Linked DNA regions of Lonchura striata. The protein of the gene in region 2 interacts with the protein of the main gene of each other region in a pairwise test. Links are inferred from orthologs where the notes say so. Each region holds a gene or a part of one and is shown on either strand. Other genes may lie near its edges.

Region 1 (15,727 bases), on a different chromosome or scaffold from region 2:
CAACTACTTGTATTTCAGCACATGGGGACAGCCTGCTCCAGAGTCTTTAGGATTTCCCTCCTGAAGAGTGTCCAGCCTTCCTGGACTCCTCTGCCCTTCAGGACTGCCTCACAAGGGACTCTGTCGAACAATCTCCTGAACAACCCAAAGTTTGACCTCTGGAAGTCCAAGGCAGCAGTTCTGCTGACCCTCTTCCTTACTCCATCAAGAAAAAAAGGAAACTTAACTGAAAGTAGGATAACTCTCTTAACCATTAACATATATAAGGAATTTCACTTCCTCACACATGTTGATACAGTTTTAAATTAACAATAAATTACATATATTTTTTAAAAATCGTTTAACTTATGCAAGATTTTAGTATACATCTGTTATTTGTTATTTGATCACTCTTTAACTTAGTCTAGATTATTTTATTAGAGTAAAACATCTTTAAACCTTCTGATATGCACTCCTTCCTACAAGATACATAAATAACTTTTGTCAAGTACAATTGCTTAAGACTGATGCCAAAAAATAAGTGGATACCAAACTGGGCATTTCCTGCTTCTTCCAGGCCAGCACAATATGAAGAGGGAAAAGCCGAGAACTTAGAAGACGGTTTAGCAGGACATTAAACTTAAAAGAATTGCATGAATATGTGTTCATTAGACACCTAATTCTGTCCTATGCTTTTCTCCTATAAAATTGAGAAATTTAACAAGACTGAAATATTAATTTGCTTTGTTCAGTAAAAATTAAAATAATACAAGCCTCTCCAGGAATCATTTTACAAAAAGCTATTTTTTTCTCCTTACTTCACTGTAAGGATCATGGGCATCTATCACACAGATATTCTGAACATCTTAAACATATTATCTGTGCTACAGCTTTATCTAACGCATTTCTACAAATATTACATTTCTGCACCTGTAGAAGCTATACAGTCTTAAAAATTAAATTTTAAATAAAGAGAAACTACAAAGAAGAAAATTTTTAAAAGTTAAAAAGTAACAAAATATTTCATTAGTAATAAAAACAGTTAAACATATTTCTGCTGCATGACTTAAAACTTTTCTCCATTAACAATCCTAAAACTGTTGGTTTTAGAAATAATCTCACCTGCAAAAAAACTCCCACAAGTCTAGATTTTGTATTCTCTTAATTCTTTTAATTCGGTGGCTATCCATTGTTTTTCCAAAGAGACTAGAAACTTCATTATATTCATTTGTTTTCTTTTGCAATGGAATAAGCTGGAAAAAAAGAGGTTAGTGCGATTTCAATTCAATGCATTATTTCATTGTCACATGTTTTTGACCAAGTTGCCTACCAACTCTTACCTGGTATGGCTCCTCAGTATTTACATTCTCCCAATGTGAAGGCATAGGGATAGCCTCATTTTCACAGATGAAACTTCAAACAAAAAAGGTAAAAGCACATCACTTCAAAGACATGAGGCATTTTCTTCCTGTCAAACTCCTGCTCCAAACAAAACAGTATGCAAAAAAAGCAAATCCCCATGAAGTTTATACAGAGCTACTAAAAAAGAGTGGTTTAAGCACATGCACTACATATATTGAAGCTCTTAAGCCTTAAAACTGGGACTAAAAGAAGGAATCTCCTGAAAGTAAAAAATGTCACCATATGGAAATAAGAGTGCTGATGCAATTATTCAAAGAACAAAGAAAATTTCTACATCATTGTATGCACTATTTAGCAAATATCGACTGAAAAAACGTTGGCACTTCGAAAACAAAGTCTTCTTGAAAGTCAGTGTAAACAGATTGCTACTACATTTCTTATGACAAATGACAAATTTCTTTTTGAATGTATAACCACACTACAATTCAGAACTAAATTTTTTCTCAGAAACTATTTGGGGAAAAACCCACACATATCCCATGTACTCAATTTCACCTGTGATAGTAACACTGCATAGCTCAGTTTATTTAGCAGATTCACATCAGCTCAGCTTTACATCTAATGACTGATGAAATGGTAAGAAATTGACTATCTAAAGCAATTAGACTCATAAAAGAATCTTTACAACACAATTTTTTAAACTCCATTTTAGAGTAAATGAGTAAAATATAGGCACAACATGTAAGTCAACCTCTTTTTGATGTTACAATAATACTTCTAAATAATATATGGAGTCAATGGATTCCATTTTTTGGTGCTGTTTCCCTGCAGCAATTCTGATTCAACAGGTATTCAGAGCAACTCCAAAAACAAATAAATATAAAAAAAATCAAGATAAAACAGTTTGGTTTCATTCTACTTAGAAGAAGCAGGAATAAAAGAAAAATAAAGAGTCTTCCTCTTATTTTCTTACCTGAATGAATTGATTGCAAAGGGAGCTCGCTTTATTGGACGTTGTTTAAGGGTAGTTAGGTTGATTTGTTTCATCACTGAGCATAAAAGAAGAATTAGGATGAAATTTTTGGGAATTCATCTACAGCATATGAAACATTTAAGTATCATTTTTTAAAATAATGTTACTACACCCTAAGCTACTTGACAGGAATTCCTACTTCAACAAGTAACAAATCAGCATTTTCAATAAATGTTTCTAAATGCATTGTCATCTATATGAGTTGGAAAAATGTCCAAATATTACACATAGAAAACATTTATTTTTAAAATATCTATCTAACATTCAGCCCCACTGAATCACAGGAAGAAATTCCACTGACTTGAAAGGGATGACAAAGAATACACTATCCTTAGTGTAAGACATCATGGCCTAAAGAGAGTAATATAAAAATTGTTCTGTAACATTTGCTTATAAGTGTAGTGTTTTTATTCAGGATACAAAACACAGTTTTTTATAAAAAGACACAAGTAAGCATAAAACTCGTTGTGGTATTGCTAGATACCACCTTACTCCCAGTATATTGCTGTTTTACTCAGTCCCCACTTTATGTATTTGAAATTTGGATACATATATTGGAATATGTATTTATTTCCTTAATTTCCTATATTTAAGCATATAGCCGTTTTGTAATTTAATCAGAAAACAAACCATTTATGAATATAAAACTAAAACAAAAGTTACTAGAACACACCTTTGAACACAGAACAGATTACATTTATAATTAGTTACATACATTAGAAACATGTAATACTCTGTAATTTACAAGCACAGCATAAGGGAGATCTTTACAATATACTAGTAAATCCTTTTGCGTATCTCCTTGTTATTCTGAGAATAGAACTGGCTTCAACTACCTGCTGAATTATTAAATCATTTTGATGCCAGTATTTTGCAGGAAACCTCATTTACAATGGAAGAGGTTTTTCAAGTTTACAGGCAGTTGCACATGAAAGAAAAAAGGTTCAACCTTCCCAGTTCAAGAGATGTATCCTACATGCCACTTGCAGCTGGAGCAAGCAGTAGGAAATCCAATGGAGTGCTATTAAACAAAACATGCTACTTCATTAATAAACTACACAAAAAATGTAACAGGGCAGCTGTTTCTAAAAACTCCTATGTACCTTCCAGTAAAGAAGACATTCTTAATTGTGTTTTCGTACCAGATATGAGGACAATAACCTGCTGAATGAACAAATGTGCTGGTGTATCTGAGACCTTCTGCTGTTTAAATTTACTCTTCTGCAAGACACATACCTGAAAAGTCCAGTGTGTAGTTAAACTTTGCAGTGGTAAAAGACAGAGATCCATGGGGGTCTGTTCGGAAACTCCTTTCAATATCTTCACTGCTGATACTGCAGTGACTGTTTGAGTCGGTCTTCAAAATAAAAGAAAAAGCACGTTAAGACAAACTCAGCCATAGGTAATTTGATGTATGGAATCCATCAGAGCCAATATAACTTCATAGGTATTTACCTGAAACATATGCCATTTACCACACTCAGCCAAATAAAACCAGCCCCACTGGGTATCGGAGGTATCCATGTCTTCAACTGAACTTTCCACCTTTGCAAACACATCTTCTGATGGTCCTTGAAGCATTTCCTGAAACATTCACACACATACACAGAAAAAAAAAGTTTAGAGAAACTTATAAAACTAGCAAAATAAAGAGCATTTGCAATAACTACCAAAAAAAAAAAAAAAAAAAGAAAAAGAAAAAGAAAAAGAAATCCTATCAGGCTGAGGACAGATCTGTTCTTGCTTTTCCACAGAAAAATTCTCAATTTGCTACTTATCCAGTATTATCCTTTAAATTAGCTAAATACTTTCAAAATCTTAATTGTCTGTAAAGTGTGACAGTAAAGGCAAGAGCTATAACCTTTATGTGATCAGAGAGAGGTGCTAAATTTCATACTGATGGTTGTAGGATCAAGGCCACTCAGAAATATACAACAGGCTCTTCATTCATACTTCTCAAGAATGAGATGTTGGGGTTACATCCAACAGCTTGATGGAAACACCTACTAGGTACTCACCAGAAGTGAACAGATCAGACTGGACATCAATAGTTGTAAGAAAACAAATTAAGACAAATAATACATTTATTTAACTGTGCAAGACCACAGTAGATTATTCCTTTCCATTGCTTGAAAAAATTTCTCCCCAGTGCACCCACTTAAAAATGGCACAGTAAAATTCCTGATACTCTGTACTTGTATTTATAGAGAAGGTTCACACAAAGCAAGACTGGCTCCCACACAAGCAATGACTACCACAGTGGGGATTCTGAAGGATGGAATAAAAAAAAGAACTGAGGAAAGGATACAGCACAGGTCTACAAAATCATGACAAAACCAAATAGGGAATGAAGAATCATATTTTCTTCTGACATATGGAGGAGACACCTATTGAAGGCTGCACATGTCAAGTTCAAAGCAAGTAAAAGAAAAACTTCATGAAACAGATGGCAACCTATGGAACTTCTTTTCATGTTATGGAAGTTCAAAAAGTAGCTAGGCAAGTTTAAGTCTACCTAGAGCTATACCAGAATACCTTTAGAAGAACAGTCCCTGTCAGAATTCAGCTTATTCTTGGTTTGTCAATAAAATTCTAAAAACTCTGAAAGTGCTCACCCCTATTTGCATGTATTTCCTAATGTGTCAACTTTCTGCAACAACCTCCCCAAGCAAAAATTCTAAGAAAGTTTCAGGGAATCTTCACAGAGAAAAAATTTGCCCCACACCCAGAAAAGGTTGGTCAGCAATTCATCCACTCTAACTGTTTAAGCAAAACACTTTGGCACTCTTATCCAAATATGTCCTCAAGTTCACTTTTTCTTCCAAGAAGTGAAACAACATCCTCCAGCACAAGTCAAACAATGTGCAGTTAGCATCCTGGATGTTTCAGTTGTTTCCTGGTCACTTCAACCCAGAAAAAAATAAAGACCTGAAGAAGACAAATACAGGATACTAAAAGTAGGCATCCCTGTTCTGGCCAGTGCTATTGGGGCAGCAGTTCAGAGCAGGAGGCACTTCTAGCACACCCTTCACCCCCCATTTTTCCCCAAGCTAGTTGTGTTTCTGTAGTTGTTTGGAAAAAAAAAAAAAATCTGAGAAACCTCTTTGTGATAATAGCTAGTGGCTGTACTCTAATCACCAAAAGCTCCAAATGGTTACAAAAATCCAAATGCATCGAGAGCAGGGGAATCATAAGTGGATCTCCAAAACATCACCAAATTGCAGAATCTGAGGGCAAACCTATTTCAGTGAAAATGAAAGCCTACCCAAGGCTCCGTGTATGGATTGCTACCTCAAATTCAAGCAGCACTACACAAAAGGTTCATCAGCTGCACAGAAAAATTATTTTGAAAGAGATAAGAAAACCATTCTCTGCTTCAGAGGGCATCTGTCAACATCTCTTCTTTTACCCATAGCAACACAGACACAGAGCCTACATTCCCTGGGTGTTAAAACCACAACTGGCCAACACCTTTTGGTGGAAATCTTTCACCTTCAATTTGATTTTTCCTCTTGGATAAGTATTTGACTATGTTCTATCCTACTGAGAGCAGGCAGAGGTAGGCTGCACTTCTTTAAAGCTGAGGAAAGCAACACGGGCTTTTCCTGGTAATGTTTTGTTTCCTCATGTTCCCGTTAAAGTGGTGAGCTCAGCTTCCCCCCACACCCCAGCATTAGTTCAGTGAAACCAATGATGCCTTTTGAACAAGAGGACATGCCTGTACAAGCAGAGAAGGCATGATTATCTGTGCCTGACAAGACACTTAGAGTCCTCCAGGGGCATCTCAGCCTCCAGAATAAACCATTTACTAAGGAGATAGTTATTCCCATGGCTTTCAAAAATATGACATTCAACCTACATATATTACCCTCATTACAAAGTCTGGGGTAAGCAGGTAGTAGATTCCAGGATACTTTAAAACTATGGAGGAAACATCTGAATGCATGAATATGTAAAGCCGTAAAAACAAGTGAACTGTTCTCAAAGATGACACAAATCCAAAATATTTGAAGGAATTACTGACTAATTCAAAATAAAATGCACACCATTTATAAGCATTAGGTAGCATTTTGAGAATGGTCTCAACTCCCATCATCAGCACTGCTCCTATTGGTTCAGGAGCTACCAGAACAGCTCAAACAAATTTCTTAGGAAAAACATCCTCCTAAAGAAGAACAGTGCTCGTTGGGCGCTGTGACTGAATGGCTTTACTACTACTGGCCATGCACTTCCTCTTTTTTCCATAAGTACTTTATGTTTTCCTGATATACATCCGTTACAGTGAGCAGACTCAGAGAATGTTTTGGGTTAGAAGAGAACTTTAAGACCATTTGGTTTCAATCACCCTGCTGGACATGGACACCTTCCACTAGACCAGGTTGCTGGCCTTCAACACTCCCAGGGACGGAGCATCCACAGCTTCTCTGGGCAACCTGTGCCAGGTCTCACCACCCAGATGATGACAAACACAGCAGCGTCCCAATGGACTACTCTGTCTGGATTCCTGTGCTGCCTGCTCACTTGGCACACCGTCCTTTATTGCCAAAGGCTCTTGTCCCTACAGACATCGACTTGGAGCAGCATCCTGCCGGGAGCACAGGCAGTGCCGAGGGAATCGCTGGAACACGCCGCCTGGTGAGGAGACTTGCCTGAGGTGAGCCCGCAGGGCTCGGGAGGGGAGGCGAGGAGCAGGACCAGCGCTAGCACCGGCACGGGGCACGCGGTGCAATGACAACGCCCTTCCCACCTGCGCCCCCACGCACCCGCTCCGTGCTGCCGGGGGCCGCCGTCGCAACCACACCCGTAACCGCGCCCGCCGGAGCCGAATCCATGGGCGTTCAAGGGCACGGCCCGGCGAGCGAGCCGGGCACGGAACCACTACGGCTCCATGGGGCGCGCAGGCCGCTCCCACACACGCAGCGGCCGGCGCCGCCCACCCCCGCGCCCAACCGGGCGGCGCTGCGCGGCGGGCGGGGCGGGGCGGGCGGCGGCCCGCGGGGCGCGCGGGGGGAGGGCGCGGCGCGGGGGGAGGGGCGGCGGCGGCGGCCGTTCCGCCCCGCCCGCACTCACCGCAGCGGCCGCGCGCGCCGGGCGCGCTCCCGCAGGCCGCCCGCGCCGCGCGGGCCGGGCGCGCGCGGGGCCCGCTCCGCTCCCGGCGCTTCCGTTTACCGGCGGCCGCGGAGGGCGGGGCCAGCGCCGCGGCGGCCGCGCCCCATTGGCCCGTCGGGGGTGGGCATGCAAATAAAGGCGGGGGCGGGGCGGGGCGGAGCCGCTGTCGTGACGCGCAGGAAGGACGGGGAGGGCCCAGGCCCGCGGCCTGTGGCCGGTGCCGGTGCCGGTGCCGGTGCCGGTGCCGCAGTGTCAGCACCGGCACCGCAGAGTGCCCACCCCAGCACCGCTTCCCGCCCCAGTGCCAAAAACTGTCCAAACCCCTGTCCAGTACCAACACCAGTACCAGGCCTAGTTCCAGTGTCATCACCACTGCCTGTGCCAGTGCCAGTTCCAATCCGAGCACCAGTCCCTGTTCCAGCACCAGGCCCAGTTCGAAAACTCGTCCGAGTACCTGTACCAGTATGAATACCAGCCCCAGTGGCAGTGCCAATACCAGTACCTTTACCAGGCCCAGTCCCAGTTTCAGCATCCCCAATTCCAAAACTAGTCCAAGTACCTTTACCAGTACTAAAACCAGTACCAGGCTCAATTCCAGTCCCAGTCCAAGCACCAGTACCAGTGCTAGTACCAGCAGCAATCCCAGTTCCAGTCTCACTGCCAGTACCAGTACCGGTAGCAATCCCAGTTCCAGTTGTGGTGCCAGCAGTTGTTCAGGTACCTCTCCCTGTACCAAGTCCAAGGTACCAAGTTCTGGTACCTCTCCCTGTACCTGCACGAGTACCAAGGCCAGCTCCAGTCCCAGTCCAAGCACCAGTACCAGCACTAGGACTGGTAGCAATCCCAGTTCCAGCTCTGGTGCCAGCATGTGTTCAGTACCTCTCCCTGTAGCTGCTCGAGTCCCAGGCCCAGTCCCGGTATCAGTGCCAGTCTCAGTTTCAGTTCCAGGGCCAGGACCGGTAACAGTAACCGTCCCAGTGCTGGTTCCAGTACCAGTACCGGTGCCGGTTCCTTGTGCTACCAGAACCGTGACACCGTGCTGGTGCCAGGCACGGCACAGAAGTGACCATCACACCGTGCACGGCGTAGGTCACACGGAGCAAAGAGGGCAGCACTCAGAGCATGCTGCAGGCGCTCAGGACCCATGAGCAGCTCCATGCCACAGTGAGGTCTGGAAGCAGCAGCAGCAGCAGATCTGGGACCAGTTAGTAAGAGAAGCCACAGGGCTGAGCACAGATAATGCTTTTGTGCTGACATTCTAGGAGGGGAGCTGCTGGGTGGAGAAGCTGGCAGTGACACCAGCTACAGCATTCTGCTGTCAGGCAGTGGCCTGGTAACTTCCAAAACACAGTCAGTCTTCATATATGTGTGCAGTCATTGCAGCACATCCTGCAGTGAAGGGTTTTCATTAGTAGCATGCCAAGAACAACACAGGTGGAGTGAAAATGATTAATTTCTCCAGTTCTGAGGGAGTGTCAAACAGGATGTTTACCCAGATTCTGGCTGTCCTGACCTTGCCTCTGAATACAGAGTTAGAAAAGGTTGTCTATTTGAGTTAAAAAGTCAAGCAGCCCATGGTGAATCACTGGAGGTAATTCACTGGCATGAATATAATGCTTCTGGAATAAAGGAGTTTTCTGGAGGTAGAGCCATCTTTTTCAAGTTTTTTTATTGACATTGTTGGAAATCACATGAAGTTTGTTGGGACATATCCTGCCTTGCTTTATGGATCTATACAGAGGCTAGAAGCAAGGAAGAACTCTGTTACCACCTTTGCTGCTGAATGTCTGTTGAACATCTTTTTTTTAATTAAAATATGCTGACAATGCTTTAAGTCTAATGTGAGCCTCTTTGAATCATTTATTTCTATTGCTAATACTGTCTGTTGTGTATTTTTGAAATAAGGGTCATGCTTTTTGCAGAATTTGTGTATGTGCAGTTACAGTAGCACAACTCACAGCTTTCTAGCAGCCAGAAGTTTTAAAGGAGTTTCTGCTGCTATGCCTTGAAGTGTGGGATAGAGTTGAGATTTTTTTTTGTTGTGTGTTTCTTCCCTTTCTTTGTATGCTTAGACTGATAATTAATAATGGAGCATAAACCTCTCTTGAGATAAGAATGTCTTCATTGCATTGAAAACACAGCCTGTTATGAGACTGTATTCTTAGGAAGCTACATGCGAATGCCAGACTTCTAATGGCAACAACAACATAAAACCCTTTCAAATCCAAATATTTCTGTGGCTATGTGATGTACTGTGTGCAGACTAGCAGCCTGTCTGAAGAAAACGTAACTGCATTAATTGATTTTCATCAGCCTCTACTTCAAGCAGCAAAAAGGCAGAAAGTGGAGAGGTTTGGCCACATTACTTGAGTTACAAACCCGCTCTCACAGGGAATGGTCAAATAGAAGTGAAAGAGAGAACTCCCTGGTACTGCCTGGTACATAAATTGTAGGATCATGGAAGAATTTAGGTTTGAAAGGACTGGTGAAGTTCTTTAATCCAGTCTCCTTACCAAAGCAGGCCTTACTTAAAATTTAGATTAAGTTGCTCAATTCCTCATTCAAACTTTTTTTTCCCCCTCTCCAGGCATGTCTTCTGAGCTGTTTTCAAGGGCAAGAAGCTTTTGTCCTTCTGTCTATTCCAGAATTTCTTGTATTGCGACTTGTGCACATTGACTCTTTCAGTGTAACCCTGTGAGGTGAGCTCCCTCAGTCTTCCTGGCAGTACCTTTCCCTGGGCAAGAAAATAAGCAGGCACAGCGTCTCCTAGCTGGTGGAACCTACCTGAAACAGAGGAAAATTACAGTCAATTACCAGAGGATAGTGCTTCTTTAATTGTATCAGGCAGGGGATTAAAAGAGGATTCAAGTGGGAATGCACCTTGGTCATCTCTGAGGAGGGCCACAAAGGTGTTCAGAGGGCTGGAGTACCTCTTTTCCATAGACAAACGGAAAGAGTTGGGGCTGTTAGCCTGGAGAAGAGGTGGATCCAGGGAGGCCTCATTGTGGCCCATGGAAGTGTTCAAGGATGGGTTGGGTAGGGCTCTGAGCATCCTGGTCCAGTGGAATGTATCCCTGCCCATGGGAGGGGAGTTGGAACTAGATGATCTTTAGGGTCTCTTCCAACCCCAACTGTTCTATATGATCTCACACAGCCTCCTGTTTAAATCAGGGTCAACTATGAGATCATATAACTTTGTTCAGAACTGTTCAGAACCAGGTCTTGAAACCTATAGGGACACAGACCGCACAACCTCTCTAGCCAACCTCTTCCAGTGCTTGATACTTGACTCTCATCAGTGTAAAAAAACTTCCCCTATATCCTCTCATCACAGATTAAGCCTTCTACCTCTTCTCCTACCACCATGCACTACTGTGAGGACCCTGGCCTGGTCTTCTTAACCTCTGCAGAAGGAATCTTCTGTTGGAATATTGCAGTTAGTTGCTCTCACCTGAGCCTTCTCCAGGCTAACCAAGTCCAGGTCCATCAGTTTCTCCTCACAGGGCAAGTGCTCCAGCCTCCTGAGTGTCTTGGCGCTCCTCTGCTGAAATTGCCTCAGTTGATCAATTTTATCAACCTTTCATATATTGATGAGCCTCAAGCTGGATGCAGTATTTTAGATGGAGTTTAAAAAATCCTAGTATTCCTTTCTTTTGAGATCCTGAATATGGTCCTGCTATTTTATAGGGTGCAGTTGTCTTCTGCTGCCTCCAGGGCACACTGTGGGATCACATCCAGCTTTCCATCTACCAGGACCAGAATTTCAGAATAGCTGCTCACCATTTCCTAACACATATTGTTGCCGGGCATTAGCTCTTCCCAGTTGCAGAATTTTGCCTTTGTCCATTTTCAATTTCATATGGTGCCTCTGACCCCACTCCTCCAGCTTGTCTGTGTCCTTATGAAGAGCTGCTCTCTGCCCTCGAGTGTATCAACTAAGAAAGGACAAGGAACATAAACTGCCATTATACCTTCTCCAAGAGGGGCAAGTGGGTTATTATTTGGTATTTGCCATTTCATAATAGATTAATTTTTAATAATCAGTGTAATGTTACATATATGCGACTGAATGATAATGTAAATGCCAACATTAACTGAAAGTAAGCAGAAACCAAACAGAACAACCAAAGAAGGAATAAAATATAAACATGCCATGCCCCCAAGACCCCCCAAAATAGAACAATTACTGCACTATGAAAAGAAAATACTGACAGTGTTTTGCAACTTTTCGGAAAACATTAAGATTTTATTGTGGTCATATGTATTGCAGCATAAAGGAAATTGTAGGATGCATGTGATAGCTGTGGTATCCACAAACTTGTACACTCGCAAATGCAGTTGCCCAGAGGCAAGAGAAAAGATTGAGGAAATACTCTGCTTATTACAGAACATCACACCTGGAGGTCATGGCTGTCCACCTCAAATATGGCATTGGTCTTGAGATGTAGAGGAATCTGTAGAAGAATATTATTTTACATTCTTTCCTTGAAAGTCTACATCCTCTAGATTTGTTGTTCAAGGAGCTGTTAGACGTGTCAGGTGATTTTTCTTAACCTGAGTCTCCTGCATCCTTCTGTTTGCGAGAAGATCCTTTCCTAGCCCTGTTCCTGCTGTGCTTTCCCCAGCTATGCCTATTCTGCACTCTCTGGGAGATGGAAAAGGTCTGGGAACATCTCAGTTCTTCCATGTTTTTTTTTTTTTTTTTTTTTGTTTTTTTTTTTGTTTTTTTTTTTGGTTTTTTTTTTTGTGATACTGAATGAAAGCCATTGTCCCAAGCAGTACATGTTCTACCCCTCATTAATGGAGACTAAACCCCACACCCTAGAGACTTCCTTGTCTCCTTTCACTTTTCTTTCACATTCCTAGATGTTCTTTTCCCTCCTGGTTGTCTCACTTTCATATTCAATACTTCACTATACTTGGTTGCTTAAAATTGCCAGTTGCCTGTCTCCTTTTATGAGCAGGCTGAGCTCCATCATCCCTGGATTTTTTTTGTTATTGTTGTTTTGTGGGGTTTTGAGGGTTTGTTTGTTTGTTTTTGTTGCTGTTGGTTTTTTGGAGTATTTTCTGCAGGGAGGAGGAGTCCAGGAAGTTTCCAAATCTTCAGGCGACATTAAGAGACTTTAAATACAAATAGATGCACTTGTAGCAGCTGCAGAAAGCAGAGAGCTTTTAGTTTGTTTCTCTCTGGAGATGAACATAGAAGACCCACGAGGAAGAACACTTTAATACCTGCACCAATTTTTGACTCCTACCTTTTCTAGGCTGGCACAGCATTGCTAACTGGAGCATTGCATAATGACTGTTTACCTGAGTCAAACAGAGAATGAGATATCCTCAAAACCAGTGACTCTGCCGGCACCAGATTGCTCAGGTATGACACATGAACAGCTGCATGGGGCTGGTTCTCATTGCCCCTGCAGTGCTGCTCCCTCTGTGTTGTTCTAATGACTGAACTTTACTCATCACCCTACTTCCTTATGTCATGATTTAGGAGAGACAGGTGTCTGCCCAGGAAGGCAGGAAGCTTCTGGAAGTGGAAAATATGACCCGCTTCCCTCCAAATTATTAAAACGTTGAAATAACAGGGCTTTCACAATGAGATAAGGGAAAGGGAATAATAGATCTTTACTATAATATATATAACAAGGCAAACAAACAACACAACAGCACCAAACGAAGCCAGGAACCAAGGGAAGGGAAGGGAAGGGAAGGGAAGGGAAGGGAAGGGAAGGGAAGGGAAGGGAAGGGAAGGGAAGGGAAGGGAAGGGAAGGGAAGGGAAGGGAAGGGAAGGGAAGGGAAGGGAAGGGAAGGGAAGGGAAGGGAAGGGAAGGGAAGGGAAGGGAAGGGAAGGGAAGGGAAGGGAAGGGAAGGGAAGGGAAGGGAAGGGAAGGGAAGGGAAGGGAAGGGAAGGGAAGGGAAGGGAAGGGAAGGGAAGGGAAGGGAAGGGAAGGGAAGGGAAGGGAAGGGAAGGGAAGGGAAGCTGTATGGTGCTGCATTTCAGATTTGTAACTAAACCAAGCCCTGGTAACATACCTCTGTTCTGGCTATTTCTGAGCACTGCTTGCACAGCATCAAAGCTTTCTCTTACACCCACTCACCCCCCTCAGGAGTATTTAAGAATTTGGAGGGGACACAAGCAGGACAGCCTGACCCATAAGATACTGTATGCCCTACAATATCATACACAGTAACAGAAATTGAGGAAAGAGAGATTTTGGGAAGGCAGCTGTTGCTCAGAGACTGACTGGACATCAGTCTGCTTTTGCATCAGTTTTTTTCCCTTCCTCTTTCCTTCAGTTAATAAACTGTATTTATCTCAGCCTGTAAGTTTTCTCACTTTTGTTCTTCTCATGCTGCTGTGGTTTTCAGGGGGGAGTGAGCAAGATAGTGTGTGGTCCTTAGCTGTGGGTGAGGGTCAACCTGCTACAAACTGAGAAAAGAAAATCTCTGGAGTCTCTCTGGTGTTCATACAGTTGGGCTTCCACACAGCTACAGCATGTTCCCATACTCAAATGTGCACACACACATGCATCTGAGCTGTAATCCATGTACTCACCACCCCACTGTTTACGTCAGGATGCTCTGAACTGCCAAGGGATGCAACACAACCAGCTGCATCTGCACCATGCCTGAGCCAGTGCTGGGACATTGCTTGGAGATGCTTTCTACAGGTACAGAGGCACCCATCTACTGACTGGTTTATAGCTGACATGACCTCCTGATTGCAGGGAGGTCAGACCTGGGGCTGTTGCAAAGAGCACGAAGGCATGTCTGGACTCTGGCCTGCTCCTCCAGGTGTGTGCCAGTGTTACTGTCAAGGGAGACCTTAGGCACACCAAGAGTGGCTACAGGGCACTGGAGCCCAGGCACTGTTCTCCTTGGTCCTGCTAGTGGAAAGGTGAAGCTTGGGCAGGAGAGCCTCCAACCTGTGGGTTAAGACCTGCCTGCACAGCCAGTGTTGCAGACAGAGGCTTTTATGGCAATGGACCCCTGCTTTGAGGAACAAGGACAAGAGCATGTTTTCCAATGGGCTTTCCAGCCCAACTGGGAAAGCCTGCCCTAAGAATAATCTGCATGCAGTGGGGTTCTTCTAGTGTCTCTCCTTTTGTGACCTTCCAGTGGTACTGTGGGCCCTCCTTGGACTCTTTTTAACATCTGCTTCTTTCTTGGTCTCTCTGAAGCTACTCTGTGCTCTCTCAAGGTCCTTTCAGTCTTTCTGCTGTATTTTCTCATCTCTCCAAAGCTACTGTATGATTTCTGGATCTCTTTCTTGCCTACCTTTTTCCATCCTTCTGAGGCTAGTCTTTGTTATCCTTCACATTTGTAGACCATGTGCTACTTTCTTCTCTGAGGTCCTCCCCTGCTTTCTTCTAATCTCTCAGTATCTGCAAGGCTACTTTGTTATTTGGGACTCTCCCAACCTCACCACTTCTTCCCTAGCCTTTCCAAAGCTGCTTTGGCTGACTTTAAGTTTCCTCCTTCTTCTCACTAAGGGGATTTTGGAGGACTTTCAGTCTTTCTGCTTGTTTCATATCCTACTCACCCTTCACCCCCTCTTTCTGAAGTTTGACTGGATTATCTGGGGCTGTTTTAGTCTTCCTTCAAGGTTCATGGCATCAGCGGCTTCGCTTCTTTCTCCTGGGACTTTTTCAGCCTTCATTCTTGTTTCTTCCCTTCTCCAAGGCTATTTTCTGTTGCTCTTTTAGCCTCTCTCCTCTCATAAGCTGCAGGCGTACACTCCTAGGGCACTTTCAGAATCTCTGATACTTTCTTGTTATTGTTAAAGTCTCTTGTGTGTTCATCATAGTTCTTTCAAGCTTTCTACTAGTTACTTTGCCTCTTTGAGGCTACTTCGTGTTCTCTGAGTTTTTACAGATTTTTGGCTGATTTTCCCTTCTTTGATGCTACTCTTTGGCCCTCTATCAATCTTTATTTCCCCCCCCCCCCCCCCCCCCGCTTTTTTTTTTTTTTTTTTTTAATCTTCTTTTCAGGCCACCCTTGGTACTACTGAGTAGTCTGGAGCTCCTTTAATAGCTCTGATACTTTCTTGTTATCACTGAGCCTCTTCTGTATTCTCTGAGTTCTCTGAGGTGGTTCTTTGCCTTATCTCTTTCTTTCTTGGCCTCTGACACTGCTGCATTTTGTTTTCTTGAGCACTTACAGACTTTCTTCCCTTCCCTGAGGCTAGTGTATGCACTCGGAATCTTTCAGACTTTCCATTCCTTTGTTCACTTCTGCAT
Region 2 (14,753 bases):
GGGAACGGGAATGGGAATGGGAAAGGGAATGGGAACAGGGAAATGGGAATGGGAACAGGGAAATGGGAATGGGAGTGGGAACAGGAATGGGAAAGGGGATCAGACATGGAAAGGGGATCAGGAACAGAAAAGGGGATTGGGAACAGAAAAGGGGATTGGGAACAGAAAAGGGGATTGGGAACAGAAAGAGGGATTGGGAACAGAAAAGGGGATTGGGAACAGAAAGAGGGATTGGGAACAGAAAAGAGGATTGGGAACAGAAAAGGGGATTGGGAACAGAAAAGGGGATTGGGAACAGAAAAGGGGATCAGCCATGGCAAAACCGGATCAGGCACCCCAAAAACCAGGACGAGGGTCGGGGATCCCCCCGGACTCACAGCTGTGCCAGCTGTTGGGTCAGCAGCTCCAGCAGCGCCTCCAGCCCCTCGCCCGTCTTGCAGGACAGGAGGGTGACCGGGGGTCCCGGGGTACCGGTGGCACTCGGGGAGAGGGTGTCAGGGGGTCCCGGGGTACCGGTGGCACTCGGGGAGAGGGCGTCAGGGGGTCCCGGGGCAGGGGTGGCACTCGGGGAGAGGGCGTCAGGGGGTCCCGGGGCAGGAGTGGCACTCGGGGAGAGGGCGTCAGGGGGTCCCTGGGCACCGGTGGCACTCGGGGAGAGGGTGTCAGGGGGTCCCTGGGCACCGGTGGCACTCGGGGAGAGGGCGTCAGGGGGTCCCTGGGCACCGGTGGCACTCGGGGAGAGGGTGTCAGGGGGTCCCTGGGCACCGGTGGCACTCGGGGAGAGGGTGTCAGGGGGTCCCTGGGCAGGGGTGGCACTCGGGGAGAGGGCGTCAGGGGGTCCCGGGGCAGGGGTGGCACTCGGGGACCCCCGGGGCCCCCCCAGCAGGTCGGCCTTGTTGAGCACCAGCACGCAGGGGGTGCCCGGGGGCGGCTCCAGCGCCGCCAGCGCCGCCCCCAGAGCCGCCGGCGTGGGCGACACCGAGGTGGCATCCAGCACTGCCAGCACCAGATCGGCCTGGCACAGCCTGGGGACACACACGGCTGTGTCAGCATCACGACTCAGCTCTGGGGGCACCCCGAAACTGCCCGAAACACCCCAAAACACCCCAAAACACCCCGAAACTCCCTGAAACTCCCCAAAACATCCTGAAACATCCCGAAAATCCCCGAAACTCCCCGAAACATCCTGAAACATCCCGAAAATCCCCGAAACACCCCTAAACACCCCAAAACACCCCGAAACATCCCAAAACACCCTGAAACTCCCCGAAACACCCTGAAACACCCCAAAACACCCTGAAACTCCCCGAAACTCCCCAAAACACCCTGAAACACCCTGAAACTCCGCGAAACACCCCAAAACTCCCCGAAACTCCCCGAAACACCCCGAAACATCCCAAAACACCCTGAAACTCCCTGAAACTCCCCGAAACAGGGTGAAACTCCCCGAAACTCCCCAAAACACCCTGAAACTCCCTGAAACACCCCAAAACTCCCTGAAACTCCCTGAAACATCCCAAAACACCCTGAAACTCCCTGAAACACCCCAAAACTCCCCGAAACTCCCCGAAACTCCCCAAAACACCCCAAAACACTGCAAAACCCCACAAACACCCTACGACCCCCCACAAAACAGCCCAGAACCCCACAAAACACTGCAAAACCCCCAAAACACCCCGTGACACCCCAAAACCCTCCAAACCATCCCAAAACCCCCCCAAACCCCCGCTGACCGCTGGCGGGCCCGGCGCACGCCCTCGCGCTCCACGGGGTCGGCGGCGCGGCGCAGCCCCGCGGTGTCGCTGAGCAGCAGCGGGTACCCCCCGATGTCCAGGGCCACCTCCAGCACGTCCCGCGTGGTGCCCGCCGAGGGCGACACGATGGCGGCCGGGCGCCGGCCTGGGCACGCCGGGAATTCGGGAATTGTCCCGGGTCGTCCATGCCCGCGGGGGATGTGGGCACAGAGGGAATTCGGGGATTATCCCAACCCTCCATGCCCATGGGGGATGTGGGGACAGAGGAATTTCGGGGATTATCCCAACCCTCCGTGCCCGTGGGGGATGTGGGCACAGAAGACTTTCGGGGATTATCCCAACCCTCCGTGCCCAGAGGAAATTTGGGGATTATCCCAACCCTCCGTGCCCAGAGGAATTTCGGGGATTATCCCAACCCTCCGTGCCCAGAGGAAATTTGGGGATTATCCCAACCCTCCGTGCCCAGAGGAAATTCGGGGATTATCCCAACCCTCCGTGCCCGTGGGGGATGTGGACACAGAGGGAATTCGGGGATTATCCCAACCCTCCATGCCCAGAGGAAATTCGGGGATTATCCCAACCCTCCGTGCCTGTGGGGGATGTGGGGACAGAGGAATTTCGGGGATTATCCCAACCCTCCATGCCCAGAGGAAATTAGGGGATTATCCCAACCCTTCGTGCCCAGAGGAAATTCGGGGATTATCCCAACCCTCCGTGCCCGTGGGGGATGTGGGCACAGTGGGAATTTGGGAATTATCCCAACCCTCCATGCCCGTGGGGGATGTGGGGACAGAGGAAATTCGGGGATTATCCCAACCCTCCGTGTCCATTGGTGACTTGGGGCCATCAGGAATGGTCCTGTGGGAATTTGGGAATTATCCCAACCCCTCCATGATTTGGGGACAGCAGGGAATGGTCCCTGTGGGATTTTGGGAATTTTGAGCCCTCCACGCCCAGTCCCTGCTGTGCGTGACCTGAGGACGCTGGGAACAGTTCCCTCTGGAATTTTGGGAATTATCTCGTGCCCTCCACACCCACGGGCAACACGATGGCCTTGGGGACACTGGGAATGGTTCCCTCTGGAATTTTGGGAATTATCCCAGCCCCTCCACGCGCAGACAGCGGAACCCCACCCTCTGGAATCCCGGGAGCGCCGCCGTGCCCTCCCGTGCCCACGGCCACTCACAGAGCAGGTTGAGCAGGCTGCTCTTGCCCACGTTGGGGGGGCCGGCGATGACCGCCCGGACCCCCCCCCGCAGCAGCTCCCCCCGGCGCCCGTCCCGCAGGTGGCCCCGGAGCTCCTGCAGCAGCGCCCGCACGGTGCCCGCCACTGCGGGGACACGGCGCTCAGCGCGGGATAAAACACCGGGAGACCCGGGCCCGAGCCCCGGATCGGGGATCAAACACCGGGAGACCCGGGCCCGAGCCCCGGATCGGGGATCAAACACCGGGAGACCCCAGATCAGGGATCAAACACCGGGAGACCCGGGCCTGAGCCCCGGATCGGGGATCAAACACCAGGAGACCCGGGCCCGAGCCCCAAATCGGGGATAAAACACTGAGAGACCCGGGCCTGAGCCCCGGATCGGGGATCAAACACCGGGAGACCCGGGCCCGAGCCCCAAATCGGGGATAAAACACTGAGAGACCAGGGCCTGAGCCCGGAATCGGGGATCAAACACCGGGAGACCCGGGCCCGAGCCCCGGATCGGGGATCAAACACTGAGAGACCCCAGGGCTGGGATAAAACACTGAGAGACCCGGGCCCGAGCCCCAAATCGGGGATCAAACACTGAGAGACCCCAGGGCTGGGATAAAACACTGAGAGATACCTCAGGTCCTGACCCATAAATTTGGGATAGAACACCAGGAGCGACCCCAGGTTCTGATCCCCAAATCTGGAATAAAACACTGGAATAGACCTGGTCTCCTGATCCCTAAATTTGGAATAAAACACCGGAACAGACCCCAGGGCCTGATCCCCAAATCTGGGATAAAACACCGGGAGAGATCCCCTGTCCCTCTCAGGGGGACAAACAAGGACTTGGAGCAGGCGGATGGGACAAGCCCCCCTGGATGTCCCCATTCCCCGTGTCACAGCGTGGGGACACAGCCGTGGCACAGGGACAGAGGGGACAGCGGGGACAGAGGGGACAGAGGGACAGAGGGGACAGCGGGAACAGGAGGGGACAGAGGGGACAGAGGGGACAGAGGGGACAGCGGGGACAGAGGGGACACAGGGGACAGCAGGGACAGCGGGAACAGGAGGGGACAGCGGGGACAGCGGGGACAGCGGGGACAGGAGGGGACCGAGGGGACAGTGGGGACAGCGGGGACAGAGGGGACAGAGGGGACAGGAGGGGACAGAGGGGACAGAGGGGACAGCGGGGACAGCGGGGACAGAGGGGACAGAGGGGACAGAGGGGACAGAGGGGACAGGAGGGGACAGAAGGGACAGCGGGGACAGGAGGGACAGAGGGGACAGCAGGGACAGGAGGGGACAGCGGGGACAGAGGGGACAGAGGGGACAGTGGGGACAGCGGGGACAGAGGGGACAGAGGGGACAGCGGGGCTCACCTCGGGCCAGAACCTCTTCCTCCACGTTGTCATCCTCGCTGAAGTCGATGTAGGCCTCCAGGTGGGCGAGCGCCTGATGTTGGGGTGAGAGTCACCCTGAGCTGGTGGCCACCCAGGGGGCTCGGTGGCCACCCAGGGGGCTCGGTGGCCCCCGGGCGGGCTCGGTGGCCCCCGGGCGGGCTCGGTGGCCACCCAGGCAGCTCGGTGGCCCCAGGCGAGCCCCACCTGGGTCAGGGCGTGGCTCCAGCGCTGGTAGAGCCGGCCCAGGTCCCCCTCCATCTGCCGCAGCGCCTGGCGCCGCTGCGCCTCCGTCTCGGCCCCGATCAGGTCCCGCAGCCCCTCGGCCGCCGTCAGGTCCAGCTTGCCGTGGGCGAACGCCCGGCGGGTGAACTCGCCCGGCTCGGCCGGACGCAGCCCCGGCAGGCGGCCTGGGGAGCCGGCGGCCAGAGGGGCATGGGCGGGGAGGGGAAAGGGAGGGAGGATCAGCCCGGACCCCATCCCAAAGGGAGGGGAAAGGGATGGAGGATCAGCCCGGACCCCATCCCAAAGGGAGGGGAAAGCGATGGAGGATCACCCCGGACCCAATCCCAAAGGAAGGGGGAAAGGGATGGAGGATCAGCCCGGACCCCATCCCAAAGGAAGGGGAAAGGGATGGAGGATCAGCCCGGACCCCATCCCAAAGGGAGGGGAAAGCGATGGAGGATCAGCCCGGACCCCATCCCAAAGGGAGGGGAAAGCGATGGAGGATCAGCCCGGACCCCATCCCAAAGGGAGGGGAAAGCGATGGAGGATCAGCCCGGACCCCATCCCAAAGGAAGGGGGAAAGGGAGGATCCCTCAGGATCCTCAGAACCCCCAGGATTCCAAAATCAAGGGGGAAGAGGGACGGAGGAGGAGCACCCGGCATCCCGAGGGGAAGAGGAAAAGGATCAGGATGGGATGGGAAAGGAGGGATGGAACAGGGGTAGGAGGGATGGAACAGGGGCAGGAGGGATGGAATATGGGAAGGAGGGATGGAATAGGATCAGGAGGGATGGAATAGGATCAGGAGGGATGGAACAGGATCAGGAGGGATGGAATAGGATCAGGAGGGTGGAACAGGGGCAGGAGGGATGGAATAGGATCAGGAGGGATGGAATAGGATCAGGAGGGATGGAACAGGATCAGGAGGGATGGAACAGGATCAGGAGCAATGGAATAGGATCAGGAGGGATGGAACAGGGGCAGGAGGGATGGAACAGGATCAGGAGCAATGGAATAGGATCAGGAGGGATGGAACAGGATCAGGAGGGATGGAATAGGATCAGGAGGGATGGAATAGGATCAGGAGGGATGGAACAGGATCAGGAGGGATGGAACAGGGGCAGGAGGGATGGAACAGGATCAGGAAGGATGGAATAGGATCAGGAGGGATGGAATAGGATCAGGAGGGATGGAATACGATCAGGAGGGATGGAATAGGATCAGGAGCAATGGAACAGGATCAGGAGGGATGGAACAGGATCAGGAGGGATGGAATAGGATCAGGAGCAATGGAACAGGATCAGGAGGGATGGAATAGGATCAGGAGGGATGGAACAGGATCAGGAGGGATGGAATAGGATCAGGAGGGATGGAACAGGATCAGGAGGGATGGAATAGGATCAGGAGGGATGGAATAGGATCAGGAGCAATGGAACAGGATCAGGAGGGATGGAATAGGATCAGGAGGGATGGAACAGGATCAGGAGGGATGGAACAGGATCAGGAGGGATGGAATAGGATCAGGAGGGATGGAATAGGATCAGGAGCAATGGAACAGGATCAGGAGGGTGGAACAGGATCAGGAGGGCATCGGGGCTCACCCAGAGCCCGCAGCACCCCGCTGACCACGGCGGGCCCCCCGTGCACGTGCAGCTCGGCACAATCCTCCCCGGTGAAGCTGTGGGGCCCTGCGGGCACAGGGGGCCGGGTGGGCACCCCCAGACCCCCGGCACCCCCTCCCCACACCCCAAAACGGCCCCTGGGGGGACCCTGCCCCAGGAGCAGCTGTCCCCCAACCCCAAACCCGTGTCCCCAAGCCCAGCACCGTGTCCTCAATCCCCAAACTCGTGTCCCCAAACCCTGCCCCCAAACACGAATTCCTGCCCACAACCCCCAATTCCTGCCCCCCAAATCTGTGTCCCCATCCCCTGTCCCACCTGAGAACCATGCCCCCAGCCCCATTTCCCACCCGGGAACCGCTCCCCACGCCCCCAGCCCCATTTCCACCCGGGAACCGCTCCCCACGCCCCCAGCCCCATTTCCCACCTGGGAACCGCACCCCCAGCCCCATTTCCCACCCGGGAGCCGCTCCCCACGCCCCCAGCCCCATTTCCACCCGGGAACCGCTCCCCACGCCCCCAGCCCCATTTCCCACCGGGGAACTGCTCCCCACGCCCCCAGCCCCATTTCCCACCCGGGAACCGCTCCCCACGCCCCCAGCCCCATTTCCCACCGGGGAACTGCTCCCCACGCCCCCAGCCCCATTTCCCACCTGGGAACCGCTCCCCACGCCCCATTTCCCACCCGGGAAGCGCTCCCCACGCCCCCAGCCCCATTTCCCACCCGGGAACTGCTCCCCACGCCCCCAGCCCCATTTCCCACCTGGGAACCGCTCCCCACGCCCCATTTCCCACCCGGGAGCCGCTCCCCACGCCCCCAGCCCCATTTCCCACCCAGGAACCGCTCCCCACGCCCCCAGCCCCATTTCCCACCTGGGAACCACACCACCAGGCCCCTGTCCAGGGTCTCGGCGCTCTGGGGGTCGCGGATGCGGCGCAGGGCCAGGACCCGGGGCGGGGGCGGCCCGGGGGTCCCGGTGAGGCTGCGCAGGACCCCCGCGCTGCCCGGCCCGCTGGCCCGGATCACGGCCACGCCGCAGCGCCCCGGCGCCGAGGACAGCGCGAAGATGGTGTCACCCGTGCCACCCGTGCCACCTGCCGTGCCACCTGCCGTGCCACCTGTGCCACCCGCGGGTGGCACCGCCGAGCTCAGCGTGCGCGCCCACCTGGGGGAGGGGGTTGGGGTCGTTATGGGGACCCCCCCGGTGGGCACAGAGGGGGCGCGACCCCCGTGGGCAGGGAACCTGGCCTCGGGTGGGACCCGCCCCAGGTGAGACCCTCCCCAGGTGGGACCCGCCCCAGGTGAGACCCTCCCCAGGTGGAACCCGCCCCAGGTGAGACCCTGCCCAGGTGGGATCCTGCCCAGGTGAGACCCTGCCCAGGTGAGACCCTGCCCAGGTGGGATCCTGCCCAGGTGAGACCCTGCCCAGGTGGGACCCTCCCCAGGTGAGACCCTCCCCACGTGAGACCCTCCCCAGGTGGGACCCTCCCCAGGTGAGACCCTGCCCAGGTGAGACCCTGCCCAGGTGGGATCCTGCCCAGGTGAGACCCTGCCCAGGTGAGACCCGCCCCAGGTGAGACCCTGCCCAGGTGGGACCCGCCCCAGGTGAGACCCTCCCCAGGTGAGACCCTGCCCAGGTGGGACCTTGCCCAGGTGAGACCCTACCCAGGTGAGACCCCTCCCCATCGATTCCCTCCCCAGGTACCCCCAAACCCCCCGGCTCAGCCATTCCCGTACCCCCCCATGGCACCGCCACCCCGGGGCTGTCCCCGTGTCCCCTCCCTGTCCCTCTGTCCCTCCCTGTCCCTCTGTCCCTCTGTCCCCTCCCTGTCCCTCTGTCCCTCCCTGTCCCTCTGTCCCCTCTCTGTCCCTCTGTCCCCTCCCTGTCCCTCTGTCCCTCCCTGTCCCTCTGTCCCTCTGTCCCCTCCCTGTCCCTCCCTGTCCCTCTGTCCCCTCCCTGTCCCTCTGTCCCTCTGTCCCCTCTCTGTCCCTCTCTCCCTCCCTGTCCCTCTGTCCCTCCCTGTCCCTCCCTGTCCCTCTGTCCCTCCCTGTCCCTCTGTCCCTCTGTCCCTCTGTCCCCTCACCTGCCCCGCGCTGCCCTCATGGCCCCGCTCAGCGCCATCGCTGCCCTCCGCCAAGCCCCGCCCACCGCGGCACGCCATTGGGCAAACCCACCGAGTGGGCGTGGCTACCCACGGTGAAATCCCGCACCGGCCTCAGCGCCCTGGCCCGATAACGCATGCTATTGGTCAATACACAGAGATAGGCGGGGCTAACGGTGAATCGCGGCCTCTGATTGGTTAATGTGCAAACACGGCGGCGCCCTCCGTGAAGCCGCGCGGAGCGAGGTCCCGCCCGGCCCCTCGGGTCCCTCTGCCCGCGGCCCGCGGGCTCGTCCCGGTGGCGAACACGAGTCGCTGTTGAAATTCTTATAAAATTTAATATCTATTTATCTTTAAATAAAATGTCTTCATTTTATAAAAGTTTATTCAGGGGTGAAATCCAGCTCTGGGGTGCTCGGCTGTTTGCTTGATATTTTATTTTTAATTAATTTATTTATTAAAAAAATAAATAATATTAAATTAAATTATTTTAAAATAACAATACATTTATTTAATTTTATTTATTTAATTAATAACTATTTTATTAATAAACATCCATATATGCATATATATTCATACAAATATTTGTATGAATATGCATATAGATGTACTTCCTGTAATGGAACAGTCTATAGAGAACGTGGTTTAAATTAAATAAATATAAATGTATTGAATTTATATTTATATATATATAAAAATAATATCAATTAAATATTATTATGGTAAGTTTCTATTAAATAGATATAATTTATTTATGTATAAAATCGTTTCATATTTATTTAACTCAAAGCACATTCTCTATGGACTGTTCCATTATGGGGGGGACATGCATATTTATAAAAGTTTATATTAAAAGATTTCTTTGCATTTCGATGTTCTTTCGCTTGGTTTGAACCTTTGACTTGTCCTCTTGCCATCTTGTAGATCAAACCAATATATTTAATTTCCTCTTGTGGCTATATTATTATTATTATTATTATTATTATTATGCCTATCTCTGTCCTGATTCCCAAAATCTCGGCTCGGCTTCCAGCAGGGATACAGACAGGGACAGACTGGGATAAACTGGGACGGACTGGGAGAGGCTGGGGCCCAGGCAGGGATGGACAGGACCGGCCCCGGTGCCCCCGGTGCCCCCCGTTTCCCCCCGTGTCCCCCCGTGCCCCCCGTGTCCCCCGTGTCCCCCCGTGTCCCCCGTGTCCCCGTGTCCCCCGTGCCCCCCGTTTCCCCCCGTTTCCCCCCGTTTCCCCCCGTGTCCCCCCGTGCCCCCCGTGTCCCCCGTGTCCCCCGTGTCCCCGTGTCCCCGTGTCCCCGTGTCCCCCGTGTCCCCGTGCCCCCCGTGCCAGCCGCGGCGCCAGCGGCGGGGGCATTCCCCGGTGGCACCGAGCGGCCGGGCTGGCACCGGGCCCCGGTCCCCACAAGCCGGGGGGGCTCCGAGCCTTGGGGGGGTTTGGGGGGATGGGGGGGTCACCCGAAATGTCACCGGGCGGCGCTCACCCCGCTCGGGTTACCGGGAGCGGCGGGGTGGGGGTGGCGCTGGGGGGGCACCGGGGGCACGGCGGCGGCACCGGGCACGGCGGCGGGCACGGGCGGAGCGCGGCGGGGCGGAGGGGCACGGCGAGCCGGGGCACGCACCGGGGGGACGCTCCGGTGCCGCCGCGGGCTCGCTCCGGTGCCGCCGCCGGGCGGAGCCGCCCCCCGCGATCCCCCCGGGACCCCCCCACGCGGGGCGCGGCCGGACACGCGTGGCCGAACGGGGCGTTAAAGGCGCCGGGAGCCCCGCGCTCCGCTCCGCCGCCTTTGTCCCTCCTCCTCCTCCTCCTCCTCCTCCTCCTCCTCCCGCCCGCACCGGCAGCGGCGGCGGCCCCGGCGGCGGCAGCGGCGGCCCCGGCGGCCCCGGCGGCCCCATGCACCGGCGCGCTCCGCCGCCGCCGAGCCCCGCAGCATGCCCGAGCCGCCGGCCGCGGCGCAGGACGGAGAGCGGCCCCGGCGGGCCCCGGCCGCGGAGGAGCGAGCGGAACCGGCGGCCCCCACCGGAGTGCTGGGTACGGGAACCGGCGGCTGCGGGGGGGCTGCGGGAGAACCGGGAGGGCGCACGGGGCGGGCCGGGATGCGGCTCGCTGCGGATGCGGCTCCCCGGGACCGCCCCGGGCGGGGGGGGGGGCGGTGTCGGTGCTGCCGGTGGAGCTCTGAGCATCCCCCGGTACCGGCACGGCTCCGAGCCCCCCGCCCGTGGGGGTCCCGCCTCATGGGGGGTCTGTGGCTCTCCGGTGGTCGCGGCTGATTTTGTGTCACCCCCCCCGCCCCGAGCCCCCCCGGGATGGGGCTGGCAGCGGGCTCGGTGTCCCCGCGTCACCGGTGACATCGCCACGGCCCCGGTGTCCCCCGCCCCGGGAAGGTTTTGTCCCCGGCCAGGCCCGTGCCCCCGGCCCGCGGGGGGTGGCGCAGCTGGCAGCCTTTGTGTCGCTGTCCCCACGCTGTCGCGGGGGTCTCCTCCCCCGCCGTCCCCCGCTCGGGGTCCCCGCGGCGCGGCGGGCGGCAGGGCCCGGTGGCGGCCGTGCCACCGAGCGGGGCTCCCGGCGCGGGTGGGTGACCCACTTCGTGCCCCCCCCGGGGACACCGCTCGGTCCCGGGCCGCGCCGGTCCCCGCCACGCCGCAGCTCCGGTGACCTTAGCCCGGGAGCCAAGGTGAGCGGCACGGCCGGCGGCAATCGGGGACGAGCGGGGGGGACCCGGGGGTGGCACAGGGCGCGCCGGCCCCGCCGAGCCCCGGGCGCCGCTTGGGTGGTGGCACCGCGCGTCGGGAGCGGCTGCGGGGACGGCGGGTGGCGGTCACCCCCAAACCGGGCCAGCCCGGGGGTGCTGGGGACCCCCGCTCCCCGTGACCTTGGGCAGGGAAAGCCCCCCGGGCCCGGCTCTGTGCCCCGGGGCGGGCATTGCCCCACGCGGGTGGCAGTGCCGCGGGTGCCCGCGCCGGGTGGCACCGCTGCGGGCAGGACATGAATAATGCAGCGTGGGTGAGCTCAGCCCGGCCGCGTCACCCGGCTGCCCGGCAGGGTGGCACGGCCACCGCCACCAGCGCCCTGTGGCACCGCTACCAGTGCCCTGTGCCAGCGCCACCAGCGCCCTGTGCCACTGCCTCCACCGCCACCAGTGCCCTGTGCCACCGCCACCAGCACCCTGTGCCACCGCCACCAGCGCCCTGTGCCACTGCCACCATTGCCCTGTGCCACTGCCACCAACGCCCTGTGCCACCGCCACCAGTGCCCTGTGCCACCGCCACCAGCGCCCTGTGCCACCGCCACCAGTGCCCTGTGCCACCGCCACCAGCGCCCTGTGCCACCGCCACCAGCGCCCTGTGCCACTGCCACCATTGCCCTGTGCCACTGCCACCATTGCCCTGTGCCACTGCCACCAACGCCCTGTGCCACCGCCACCAGTGCCCTGTGCCAGCGCCCTGTGCCACTGCCACCATCGCCCTGTGCCAGCGCCCTGTGCCACTGCCACCATTGCCCTGTGCCACTGCCACCAACGCCCTGTGCCACCGCCACCAGTGCCCTGTGCCACCGCCACCAGCGCCCTGTGCCACTGCCACCAGTGCCCTGTGCCAGCGCCCTGTGCCACTGCCTCCAGCGCCCTGTGCCACCGCCACCAGCGCCCTGTGCCACTGCCACCATCGCCCTGTGCCAGCGCCCTGTGCCACTGCCTCCAGCGCCCTGTGCCACTGCCACCAGTGCCCTGTGCCAGCGCCACCAGCGCCCTGTGCCACTGCCACCAGTGCCCTGTGCCAGGGCCACCAGCGCCCTGTGCCACTGCCACCATCGCCCTGTGCCAGCGCCCTGTGCCACTGCCTCCAGCGCCCTGTGCCACTGCCACCAGTGCCCTGTGCCAGCGCCACCAGCGCCCTGTGCCAGCGCCACCAGCACCCTATGCCACTGCCACCAGTGCCCTGTGCCACTGCCACCAGCGCCCTGTGCCACTGCCACCAGCACCCTGTGCCACTGCCACCAGCGCCCTGTGCCACTGCCACCAGCGCCCTGTGCCCGCCGGGCATGCTGGTAGCCCCGCAGGGTCATATCTCGATGGCCTGGCACCCTGAAACACTGGCACCCTGAAACACTGGCACCCTGAAATACCTGCACCCTAAAATACCTGCACCCTGAAACACTGGTACCCTGAAATAGCTGCACCATAAAACATTGGCACCCTGAAACACTGGCACCCTGAAATACCTCCACCCTGACTGGCACCCTGAAATACCTGCAGCCTAAAACACTGGCACCCTAAAATAGCTGCACCCTAAAACATTGGCACCCTGAAACACTGGCACCCTGAAATGCCTGCAGCCTGAAATACCTGCACCCTGACTGGCACCCTGAAATACCTGCAGCCTGAAACACTGGCATGCTAATACCTGCACCCTGAAATACCTGCACCCTGAAATACCTGCACCCTGAAATACCTGCACCCCAACACCTCGGCGCCCTGGCACCCAATACCTTGATACCCCTGGCATCCCGATACCCTGGCACCCCTAAACCCCAAGTCCCTGGTAGCCGGGCACCCCACTGCCCCTCACCCTGGCACCCCATTTCCCCCGCACCCCAGGGCAGGACACCGCGGGGCGGCTGGCAGCCTGGCGCTGTCCCCAAGTGCCACCCGCAGCTCGGGGCCAGCGCAGCCTTTCAGAGCCCAGCGGGGCGCGGAGTTTGGGGGTTCCCAGCCGAGGGTTTGGGGTGCCTTCCCTGGCATCAGCGGCTCTGGCATTTCCTGTTTTCCCCCGCGGTTTCCGCCACCCCGAGCCCTTCCCAGCCCTGGGGCACCGCGACGTCCCCGGCCGAGGAGGGGACACTGAGGCACGAGGGGACACTGAGGCACGAGGGGACACTGAGGCACGAGGGGAAGCGACAAACGGGGGGTCCCCACGCCATCGGGGACCTCCGTCCCCGCCAGCTGCGGGTGGATTTTTTGGGGTGCCCCCCTGTCCCCACCCTCCCGGGGCGGCGCTCTGGGGACGGCGGGCCCGGGGACGGCGGCCGCGTCCCCGCGGTGCCGCCGCCACCGGGACCGTGCCCATCCCTCCCCATCCATCCCCGTCTCCATGGAGACCGGCTGCGGCTCCCGATCCCCGCTCCTGCTGCGCTTCGCCGTCCCCCGGAGCAGCGGGAGGAGCCGAGAGCCTTGGGGACGCTCCGAGGGGACATCCCGCGGCGTTGGGGCTCCTCCCCGCAGCTGTCGGTGCCGGTTTGGGGATTTTCCGCAGGAGAAATCCGATGCCGTGACCCGGCACGGCCGGGCTGGGGGCGGCCCGGGGCGGTCCCGCGGGGTCCCGGGGCGGTCCCGCGGGGTCCCGGGGCGGTCCCGCGGGGTCCCGGGGCGGTCCCGCGGGGTCCCGGGGCGGTCCCGCGGGGTCCCGGGGCGGTCCCGCGGGGTCCCGGGGCTCCGGGGCCGTCTGGGATCCGCTGCCCGGGGATCCTGATCCCTGCCCGCCTCCCCCGGCAGATAAACTCTTCGGGAAGCGGCTGCTCCAGGCCGGGCGCTACATCATGTCCCACAAGGCCTGGATGAAAACCGTGCCCACGGAGAACTGCGACGTGCTCATGACATTCCCGGGTAGGGACGGGAAACCGGGACCGGGAAAACCGGGATCGGGGGGGGACCGGGAAAACCGGGATCGGGTAGGACTGGGAAAACCGGGATTGGGGTGGGACCGGCAAAACCGGGATCGGGTGGGACTGGGAAATCCGGGATTCGGGGTGTGACTGGGGAATCCAGGATAGGGATGTACCCAGGAAAATCTGGGATAGCCGAGGTAGGAGGGGGTGGGGATGGTGGGGGGAGCCCGGGAGGTGGCGGTGGGGATGGGGGATGGGGGATTGGGGGTGGAAGATTAGGGATGGGAGATGGGGAATGGGGGATTGGGGATTTGGGATTGGGGATTGGGGATGGGGGATTGGGGATGGGGGATTGGGGATGGGGGATTGGGGCGGGAGGGGGACGTGGGATCTTGGGAGGAATGAGGGATGTGAGGAGGGATGGGGGTGTGGGAAGGGATGGGGAATGTGTGGATGGATGGGGAGCGGGATGAGGGACATGGGGACGGGTGAGGACTGGGACAGGGACACCTGGGGGGATGAGAACAGGGATGAGGGACACCTGGGGGTTTGGGGACCAGGACAGGGACACCTGGGGGTTTGGGGACAGGGATGAGGGACACCTGGGGGTTTGGGGACCAGGACAGGGACACCTGGGGGTTTGGGGACAGGGATGAGGGACACCTGGGGGTTTGGGGACCAGGACAGGGACACCTGGGGGTTTGGGGACAGGGATGAGGGACACCTGGGGGTTTGGGGACCGGGACAGGGACACGCGGCAGGCTGGGGACAGGGACACCGTGTCGGGACACGCGCGGCGCTGTCCCCGCAGACAGCACGGATGACCACACGCTGCTGTGGCTG

What was found.
Region 1: the proteins of GTPBP3 (region 2) and PARP11 interact in binary tests that used the Homo sapiens proteins (3 or more experiments, as listed by UniProt). The two-hybrid records come from large-scale screens. The link is inferred for Lonchura striata from reciprocal best matches to the Homo sapiens genes GTPBP3 and PARP11.

What each region holds. Positions count from the first base shown.
Region 1 is NC_134604.1:30,782,724-30,798,450, forward strand, and holds the start of PARP11 (protein mono-ADP-ribosyltransferase PARP11), read right to left. Parts: upstream 7,303-15,727; 5' UTR 7,207-7,302; coding exon 7,138-7,206; intron 5,736-7,137; exon of another isoform or gene 4,420-5,735; coding exon of another isoform or gene 4,393-4,419; intron 3,959-4,392; coding exon 3,830-3,958; intron 3,732-3,829; coding exon 3,611-3,731; intron 2,391-3,610; coding exon 2,315-2,390; intron 1,393-2,314; coding exon 1,320-1,392; intron 1,233-1,319; coding exon 1,102-1,232; intron 1-1,101. UniProt on the Homo sapiens protein: Mono-ADP-ribosyltransferase that mediates mono-ADP-ribosylation of target proteins. Plays a role in nuclear envelope stability and nuclear remodeling during spermiogenesis. Inhibits the type I interferon activated signaling pathway.
Region 2 is NC_134630.1:7,744,522-7,759,274, forward strand, and holds the start of GTPBP3 (5-taurinomethyluridine-[tRNA] synthase subunit GTPB3, mitochondrial), read right to left. Parts: upstream 8,298-14,753; coding exon 8,278-8,297; intron 7,359-8,277; coding exon 7,066-7,358; intron 6,262-7,065; coding exon 6,175-6,261; intron 4,760-6,174; coding exon 4,557-4,759; intron 4,405-4,556; coding exon 4,332-4,404; intron 3,085-4,331; coding exon 2,941-3,084; intron 1,900-2,940; coding exon 1,734-1,899; intron 1,026-1,733; coding exon 844-1,025; intron 478-843; coding exon 378-477; intron 1-377. Other genes in the region: ANO8 (anoctamin-8), read left to right, coding at 10,241-10,340, 13,798-13,908, 14,722-14,753. UniProt on the Homo sapiens protein: GTPase component of the GTPBP3-MTO1 complex that catalyzes the 5-taurinomethyluridine (taum(5)U) modification at the 34th wobble position (U34) of mitochondrial tRNAs (mt-tRNAs), which plays a role in mt-tRNA decoding and mitochondrial translation.